2 linked regions of the Caenorhabditis elegans genome follow. The protein of the gene in region 1 interacts with the protein of each later gene in a biochemical or structural test. Each region holds a gene or a part of one and is shown on either strand. Other genes may lie near its edges. The genes, in order: nlp-22 and gnrr-3.

The links.
Region 2: the proteins of nlp-22 (region 1) and gnrr-3 interact in a test that uses a peptide from one of them, tested with the Caenorhabditis elegans proteins (one large-scale study listed by BioGRID).

What each region holds. Positions count from the first base shown.
Region 1 is NC_003284.9:2,340,770-2,344,001, forward strand, and holds nlp-22 (Neuropeptide-Like Protein), read right to left. Parts: upstream 1,321-3,232; 5' UTR 1,296-1,320; coding exon 1,212-1,295; intron 815-1,211; coding exon 590-814; downstream 1-589. Other genes in the region: nlp-23 (Neuropeptide-Like Protein), read right to left, coding at 1,689-2,027, 2,095-2,169.
Region 2 is NC_003284.9:10,047,375-10,053,110, reverse strand, and holds gnrr-3 (G-protein coupled receptors family 1 profile domain-containing protein), read right to left. Parts: upstream 3,652-5,736; coding exon 3,521-3,651; intron 3,122-3,520; coding exon 2,988-3,121; intron 2,947-2,987; coding exon 2,844-2,946; intron 2,795-2,843; coding exon 2,635-2,794; intron 2,580-2,634; coding exon 2,436-2,579; intron 1,751-2,435; coding exon 1,646-1,750; intron 1,596-1,645; coding exon 1,504-1,595; intron 1,452-1,503; coding exon 1,361-1,451; intron 858-1,360; coding exon 630-857; downstream 1-629.

The sequences.
Region 1 (3,232 bases):
ATAACAATTTTCCTACAGGAGACAAAAATACGACAGTGCTAAAGTTTTGCCTAAAAGTGGCCAAAACTCAGTATTTGCCACTTTTGACTGGCAATAAAACATTTTCATGGAAATTGTTGGAACAAATTTCGGCTCATTGGTGCAACTGGGCCTTTAAAACTGGACAACTTAAACATTAAAAAAAAACCAATAAAACAAAGTTTCAGATTCAGATTTTTGAGTCCGAAACACAAGATATCAAAAACTTGAAACCGAGCAAAATAGCAGACTAATTTTCTCCCGTTTTTTCCAACTTCGGTTCCACTTTCTCATGAGTATTTTGGAGGCGTTTAATTGACTCTGAATTAGTCTGGTTTTGAAAATCGTATGATGTGTGCCCACCACTGTACTTTTTTCATAGCCTTCTTTATTAGCTTCTGCAGAAAAAATGGCATTTTTGAAACGAAGTTTTAAAGAAAAAATCTCAAGTTAACAGTTTTGTTTATTGAGAATAATTAGACAGATAAATGAAAACAATGCAAAATACGAAATAATTGGTGTAGCGTTAAACATATCGGAATGATCCGGTTAACAATTAACATCAGAAAATTCATACTCCGATTGGGAATCCAGTTAGTTCGTCCGTTGTTCGTTTCCCTGGACGGAATCCGGCTCGCCCAATCGCAATCGACTTTTTCATGATTGGAAGGGTTCGGAGTCTCCAATAGCGCAAGCGCCCCTCACGAGTGTTGCGCAGGTAGTTTGCTCGGTGAAGGATCTGATTGAAATCGACTTGATCGACAACTCCTAATCCGCGGAAGACATCGATTCCACCCTGAAATTACGGTGCTTGTTGCCATTTGAAGGAACTCGATTTTGGGAATTTTTGAACTTATACTTTCAAAATATCCTCAAATGAATGAATTTTTTAATAAACTTTCGCGAAAGTTTTTCAATATTTTTTTGTGGCGGTTCAAAATTTTCGCATAAAAATGGCCTAATTCGGACGGAAATTGAAATTTTGTAACCTATTGGTTGCCTATCCGCTTGAAATTTTAAACTTAAAAAAACGATGTAAATGTGCAAATTGAGTCAATAATAAAAAAAAAAAATTTTTGGGGATTTAAGGCTAATTTACAAACAAACACATCTAGGTCTTTTTTCGAAAATTTGAACCGTCGTAAACACAATTTGATCGGTACCCTTTTCCTTTAACATTGTGTAAAGCTAACCTGAAGCCCAAGAGCTGAGGTCTGGACCAGAAGAATGTCCAACGCGAAGATCGTCAATCCGATGAAGACGATTATGGAACGCATTTCCGAGTTGGGAAAGTTCGAGAATAAAAAAGAATAAAAAACGGGGGTATAGTGAGCACAACTCGATCGGCCAGAATTTATATGCTTTTTGCTCTGTTACATCTAAGGCGGAGCAAAACGGTTAAACGACCGGAACCGGTGAATGTTTTTTTTGGAAAACGTTGCTCTCGGTTTTGTGAACTCATAAAGTAACATGCGAAAAATTGCACAAAAACTACTGCTTTACACCCACAATGATTTGTTCTCTGGAAACGTGGGTTTCAAATTAGAATGATAAAAGTTCCTTATTCTAGTGATCAGTGATGATTACTCATGTCTTTGCTATCATTTCATACAGATACTTTATTTGATTCACAAGTAAAAATTAATGTTTGTAGAAATTCCAAAAATTATTTACTCCGAGAAATCATTGCGGTAAAGAGGATAATAGCTCTCTGCAAATGGCATTGATCGCTTTCCGCGGTTCCATCCAGCTGCAAATGCACGCTTCCCTGGGCGCATTCCAGCTCTGCCAATTGCCATTGATCGCTTTGCTGGCCGGAATCCTTGACGACTGATATAAAGACGCTTCTCCATAGTTAGTGGCTCCGGTTCTTCATCGGCATAGATCTCATCTTCGTCGTTTGGGATAACAATCATAGGGGTCGCCAAGTCGACAGCATCATCTTGGTCTAGGTCATTAGAATCTAAAAGTTGGGATTCGTAGGAATCATCTTTAGACGTTGGATGTTCCTGAAATGTTCATTTGCTACAATTACATAAAATGATAAAATAAGTAGCTCAGTTCATATGAGCTCACCGAGTAAAAACCCAGCTCCAAAGCATGAGCTGAGACTCCAAGAAGTGCCATCCAAATGACGAGGTGAGCTGCCATTGACTTTGAAAGTGATATCAGGTGGGACTGAGGACATCCTTCTGCTCGTCTTTCTTTTTATAGCACCTATTAAGAAAACGTGGTCTTGTAGTCCGGAAAACTGACACTACGATATTTTGGAGGATCGGATTTTTACGAGTTTTTTAACGATTTCGTAAAGGGACTACACTTCTACAATAGAATACAACGACTATAGGTGTATCTAGGAACTAAAAACAATTTTTTTTGAGAAGTTTAGAAATTTGCTCATCTGAGCACATTTTGGGTACATACATTCAAAATTCCAATACCTCCTCATCAGTGATAAAAAGGTCAAATGCGGAAAAGCCTGGAAGAACTGCGGAAAAATTGCCACAGATTTGGGTTTTATAGGCGGCTAATTATAATTTAATTTTGGAATTGGACAATCTGATTTCCCTTCAAAATATTTTTTTTCTTAACAATTTACTGACGACGAGCTGAAGATGATACTATCCCACGTCACTGATGTTTTTCCAACTAGAAAAAAAAACGTTTCCATAATGAGCTGAACATCGATCAAAACAACAGGGTACCCCTCTGAGAATTTTTTAATTCAGCTTACACAAAAAAAAATTGCGAACCGGCATACATTTAGTACAGTTTTGAATAACAGTAGGCAGTGAGTTTTTGCATTTTTTGAATTTTTGAAAATTTTTGAAAAAAAAAAGGTTTCAATATTGTCAGTGCGATTACATATAGAATTTATTCAATTGTATGGAGACAATTTTTTGGAAGGCTAAAAGAAAAAGAGCAAATTTTAATCGGACCCATACGTGCCTTCAAACTTGGCACACTGGTAGTGGACACATGGCTCAACAAATTGATTTCAACAAAATTTTTTGAACTGACCTACATGTTATATTAGTAAATCTGACTTTATATTGCATAAAATCCCCGATCAAAATAGTTTGTGATTCATATTCACCCTGTCTGAAACTTCTTTCCGAACCATTACTCTCTGAAACTGGGCTCTAAAAAACTCTAAAAAACAGAACACGATTTCATTCCGGTAATCTGGCTGTGTTTGTACATAAAGTATCAG
Region 2 (5,736 bases), 7.7 Mb from region 1:
TAACCTCTAGACAGGTATATTACTACTGCAACAACGAGCAATTAGATTATAGTGCTGTGGCAAGATTTATTGCAGTTATTTGTATGTAGTGTGGTGTCTGGATGGGAATTTGGGAAAACACAGGTCAAACAACAAAAGAAGGGGATTGCAAAAAAGAAACAAACCGGAACAGAAAATGATCAAAAAATTTCATTTGATCTGTAAGATTTTATAGTTTTCTCGGGAACAAATAAAATATTTATTTCCTTGAGATTCACCGTTTTTCCGAAAGTTTTTAGTTTGAAAGATGAATTTTATATGGCTTCAATATGCAAAGTGTACTACCATGCATTTGGGCCAGATTCCAAAAATTTTCACGAGAAGATATTTTACGAATAGGAATTGTTTTTTTTTTAACATCCATAACTTTCTCCCAAAAAATGCAACAACACTTTCAAAAGAGCACACTCAGTTTTATTACCATAAATTAATTTTTCTCAGAAGGGATTATTCTTGAAAACAGAGGAATGTGCTACATCACATAATGTACATCTTCGCATTGTTGGTTCGACAAAAGTTTTTCAACGATCAGAAGTTCCAGTTTGTTACATAAAAATATACACGAAATATTTCAAATTGATGGTCATTCCTCAGCATCTGCCAGCTTTTCCGTCAAGTGATCCGGTGCATCTAAACCTCATTACTTTTGGTGTTTTTGAGTCGATTTGCGACGCGCGTCTGTTCTCGAACCGTGGCGCGTGTACCTCGAGGCGACACTTGGGAGGAGTTTTGTTCTCGGTGTGCGCGATTTGCTGCGGCAACAATCCGCTGGGCCTCGGCTTCCCGGACCGTCGTCGATCGGCGGATAGACCGACTTCCTGCAAAGTGATGCTGATCAAGATGCGAAAAATGTAGTTCTAGGTGGTGGTGGAACAGGTCGTTGTTGCAAGAAAAAGAGAAATGTGATTAGAAGATAGACGGTGTGATAGTGTAATTAACAATGTCTAGTTCTAAAATCACACCACCTGCGGGGATTTACTGCAAACTTAATCTAAAAAAATTTTTTAGGAGAAGAAGGTCACTTTAATTGAAATGTGAACGTTCACAAATTAATAAGCTGTGTTTCTAGTCTCTTTTTGTATGACGCCATTTCGACAACTGACGCCATCTCATCATAAATTGGTTGATCAATTTGAGAATATCATGAACTCTATCTCAAATGATAAAAGACGTAAATACGTGCAGTTTGATAAATTTTGTTATAGAAAATAACCGGTTTCCAGAAGGGGAGTTGAAATTAACCACGTGATTAGATAAGGGCTTTTGAAGTGAGAGAGTGTCGGAGGTAAAGAGAAGAAAAACACTTGACCGTCATGCATACCTCCTTACCAGCAGTGTCCATAGTACTGCAGTAATACGAGTTTCTTTTTGGCTCAGTGCCAAAACGATATAGGAATGGATTGATGCACGTGCTAAATAAGAACAATTAGGGAAAACTATTAATGAATGTTTTTTCCTGAATACCTTGCTATAATAATTGCCTGTAACCAATTCAGTTTGCTCACAATTTCCTGGCAATTTTCAGAAACACAGACAATTCGAAGAAGAGCCAAAACCTTAAAATTCACGGTATCTATAACTGAAACGATACTTCAAGTTTGCCTACTTGATATGGAAGCCATGTGAACAGGAACGTACAAATAATTGCCACAGAAGCTCTGAGAAATCTTGCTTTCGTGTTGTTCGTTTTTTGTCCACTTTGTCCTCCGTCCTACAAATATGTTTATGTTTTTTAATTGTTACGTGTATCGAATTGGAAAAATAAATGAAGTTAATTGTATGAATTTATTTTTCCAATTTTTAATTTGATTATTTGTTGGTTTTTAGTGTAACTGTTTTTGCATAATTTCACAACAAAAAATCATCAGTGATACATATTTGTTTGCTTTAATCTGCTTACACCGAATAAAATAACTATTTTGTCATTAGAAAATACCAGGTGTGATGATTTCAAGCAGATAATTGTTTGTTAAATTTTTTTTCTTTTCTCAAGGATACAATTGATGTGTTATTCCAGTAACCAAATCAAAAATGTTATTAATAGTCATTCTATACCCAAAAATGAATTTCTGTTTTCAGATATATTTAGATCATACAGATCATAAGATCACTGGAAAAAAATAAGACTGTCTATAACAAGTTAGTCACTCATGAGTTACGTTTCCACATTTTTTAAAGCACTTAAGAGTTCAGCTTCCATTTTTAAAATTTATAAAATTTATAAGCCAGAAAATGTTAAAAAAGTTGAATTTTTTCACTGAAAGTTTTGGTGAAGTAAAAAAGTAGAACAATTTTGGCTTCTCAGAATTTCATCGAGAATGTATCCTTAGTTTTCAACATTTCCGTAACTTAGGCTCCTCCACTTGAAAAGTTAGATTTTCAAAATTGCATTATACCTGTAATAAACGACGTTCCGCCATTTGTTTCCGTATCGATACCCCGATAGCCAAATAGCATATGATAACAATCAACAATGGAATGTAAAACGAAGTTATGACATGAAACAGGTTGAATGCAATTAACACATCATCATTGAATACCTGAAACGTTATATGTTAACAGAATTCGTTTAGATATTACAGGAAATTGACATACATCAGTTCTTGGGTAGCATTGATACATATCTTCATCGTTGATCTGAATGGTTCCACGCAGAATGCTCATTGGTGATGCACATACAACTGCAAAGCCCCACGCAAGAGTAATAAGCCAATTAACTCGGTTTGCCCCTGTTCGATAGCTGCTCAGTGGAGATCTGAAAAAAAAAACTATATAAGTCAGTGATTCCGATATAGAGTACTTACGTAATACAGCAAAGCATGTCAATTGCAATAGCTGCTACCATGTTCGACCAAAGATGAAAAGGCAGAGCACAAAGAAAACTGAATACTCGACACATAATGTCTCCTAAAAAACAATAAAATTATTATTCAAATGATTATCTACACCTTGAGTCCAGACGATATTATATATCCAATAACTTCTCCAGATCCCGTACATAAAAAGAACCATTATGTGGGCAATAAGTAGCTGTCGACTAAGCTTGACCAGTCTGGACTCCACGCCTCCTTCTCGAACATTTCTGAATATACAAATAAAATTAGAAACATGAACAAAAAATAAACATCAAAACGATGACTGTAATTTTTAATCAGTTTTGTAATAGTTTGGCACGTGAATAAATTATATGCGCGGCTTAGGTTATGCAGGTACTTCAGTAAACTGTTTATCGTTCGAATTTTAAATCACGGATAGTCGAGTATGCAAAAAGGATCTGCAATTACTTAAAACCCCCCGGTTTCTTGGAAAATAGCCTTGCAGCTCTCTCTATTAATATTGCAGTGCTTAAGACTAATAAAAATTAGTCTTGCATGCAGAACTAACATAAGATTAGTTTAACTGACAAACCATTTGCAAAATGTGAAATTAGCTATTATTACTTTTATAGTGTTAGAAGAGTATTAGCTCTAGCAACACTTACCGACTTGTTTTGACAAAAGCAAAAATATTGATTGGAGTACCAATTATGAAAAATGCAAGCTGGTAAAACATTTCGATAACTTCTGAAGTCGAATGCATCATGACAAACGTATCCGATGTTGAGTTGTTCATTTTCTGAAAAGTTTCACAATTGGAATTGTAGTATAGTGTAAGTAATGAAAAAAAACTAGCAAAAAGAAGTGAGGTGTCTTTGCTGGTGACTGTCCGGAAATGAGAAATGAGTGAGATGTGGTAAAACGAAAACCGAGATAGGAGGGGCTTGATTATACAAACTACCACTTTCGGCATACAAAATTGCGTTTTTTTTTTTCATTTTTGCGAAGAAATATGTAGTATTCATCGAGCTGGTAAATAATACGATGCCATGACAGATGTTACTACTGCTAAATGATACGGTGGCTGGAGTGTTAAACGAAAAACATAGAAAAGTGTGAAAACAAGAGAATAACTCCAGAAACTATTTGAATCCAAAGGATTGTCAGAATCAACCGGCGTAGTTTTGCTTTACAAATATGTTAGCTTTAGGCAGACATAGCAATATTGGCGTGAAAACTGCAATTATCGTCGATGAAAAGTATTTTTCTTTATAAACAACAATATTTGGAGCTTTCCAGTCTGATGTAAACTTTTGAACCTGTGGTGAAATCACAACTGAGAAAAAATATAGTTTTTCAAAAAATTAGAAATGTTTGAAAGTTGCTTTGGAAAATACCAAAGGAAAAACATTTGAAAGATCTTGCTGAGACTCAGTCATGCAAATGTTTAAAAAAAACCAACAAAATGCAGTATTTAAATGTCCAGATGCAAAAATGCTTATTCAATTTGCCATCGCATTCATAATTTTACAGTATTGGTTATCTCAACAAGTACCGACAACGGTAATTTAAAAATATAATATTTATTATTATTATTACTTCTTAAATTTTCAATAAAACCGACATAAAATCTATTTGGAGAATTAGCAACTGCAGGAATCAAAGTAAAATGGTTAACAATAATCAAAGTTAAAAAAAAAAACTTGAAACAAATCCTATTGGACAGAATTTTTTCACAGCAAAAACCATTTGTGCATCTATTAATTGCTAGCACAGTATTCGGAAATGTGTAATGTTGTGATTACAAACATATTAATGATCGTTGAAAAAAACTTGATCATCGTTAAAAATTACATTACAAACAAAGTATCAAATTAAAAGTGGAACTACTAACGAACTGAATGAAATCTCTCTTATGAAAAAACAACGACCCGCAACATCGCATTGTAGGAAATTAGAAATATACATTTTCGTGATGTATTTGGTTCTAGAAACCATTTGAAAACTACATCATATTTATGAGTACGAGTAAGTGGAACGGAAAAAGAAACTAGAGAAACGTATAAGTTCTGAGAGCTCGTTTCTCCCGCTTTTAATCCTAATGGCAAAAACCGACAGTTTTTGAGAACATTCAAAAACCCATTTGGCAGTCTTGGTTTCCAATAAGTAATCCACCCAGAAAACTCATAAGATTTACGATTTTCTCAGAAATGTTCCGTGTTTCTCAAATTGGAAAGTATTTAAAACACTATAAAAAGATCGAAGTGAATAAAGTAGGGCTTCCATGTGAGAGCGGCGCGGCGGCGGCGCCTCACGCCGGCCTCACGCCGACCGGCCTTCGCAGTTATATTTTCATTCATTTGTCAAATTTTGTTCATTTCGATTGATATTTCATACTAAAATGCACGACAAAAAACACATGTACCAGAGATTGTTGAATACAGATATAGATGTAACCAAAGAAAATGTGTGTTCCATTTCAACCGAGAACCCTAACCCATTGTTCTCTTCCTTTTGATTTAATATTTTAAACCACTAGAGTTCAACTTTCTAACTTTTGACCTTTACCCCTTTCTTCACAATTTGATGTTCGGTCAACCATCCGAACCTTTTTCTTAATTCATTGAGCTTGGAGTTTAAAACTCAAACTTCGGAGATAAGCGAATCATCTAATCACAAATTCAAAATCAACCGTTTCCAACAATCCTATTCTCTTTCACTCCTGGTTTAAAGTTTGAAATCCGCTGTAATTTGTGTCCGAAGAGTGACACTTATCCTTCACAAACTCTCAGATATTACATTTTGAATGGCCAGTTGCGTATTGCAATGTATCATTTCGAGATACCGCTGACCAGGGCGGCTCGTGTTTGCCCTTGTCGTC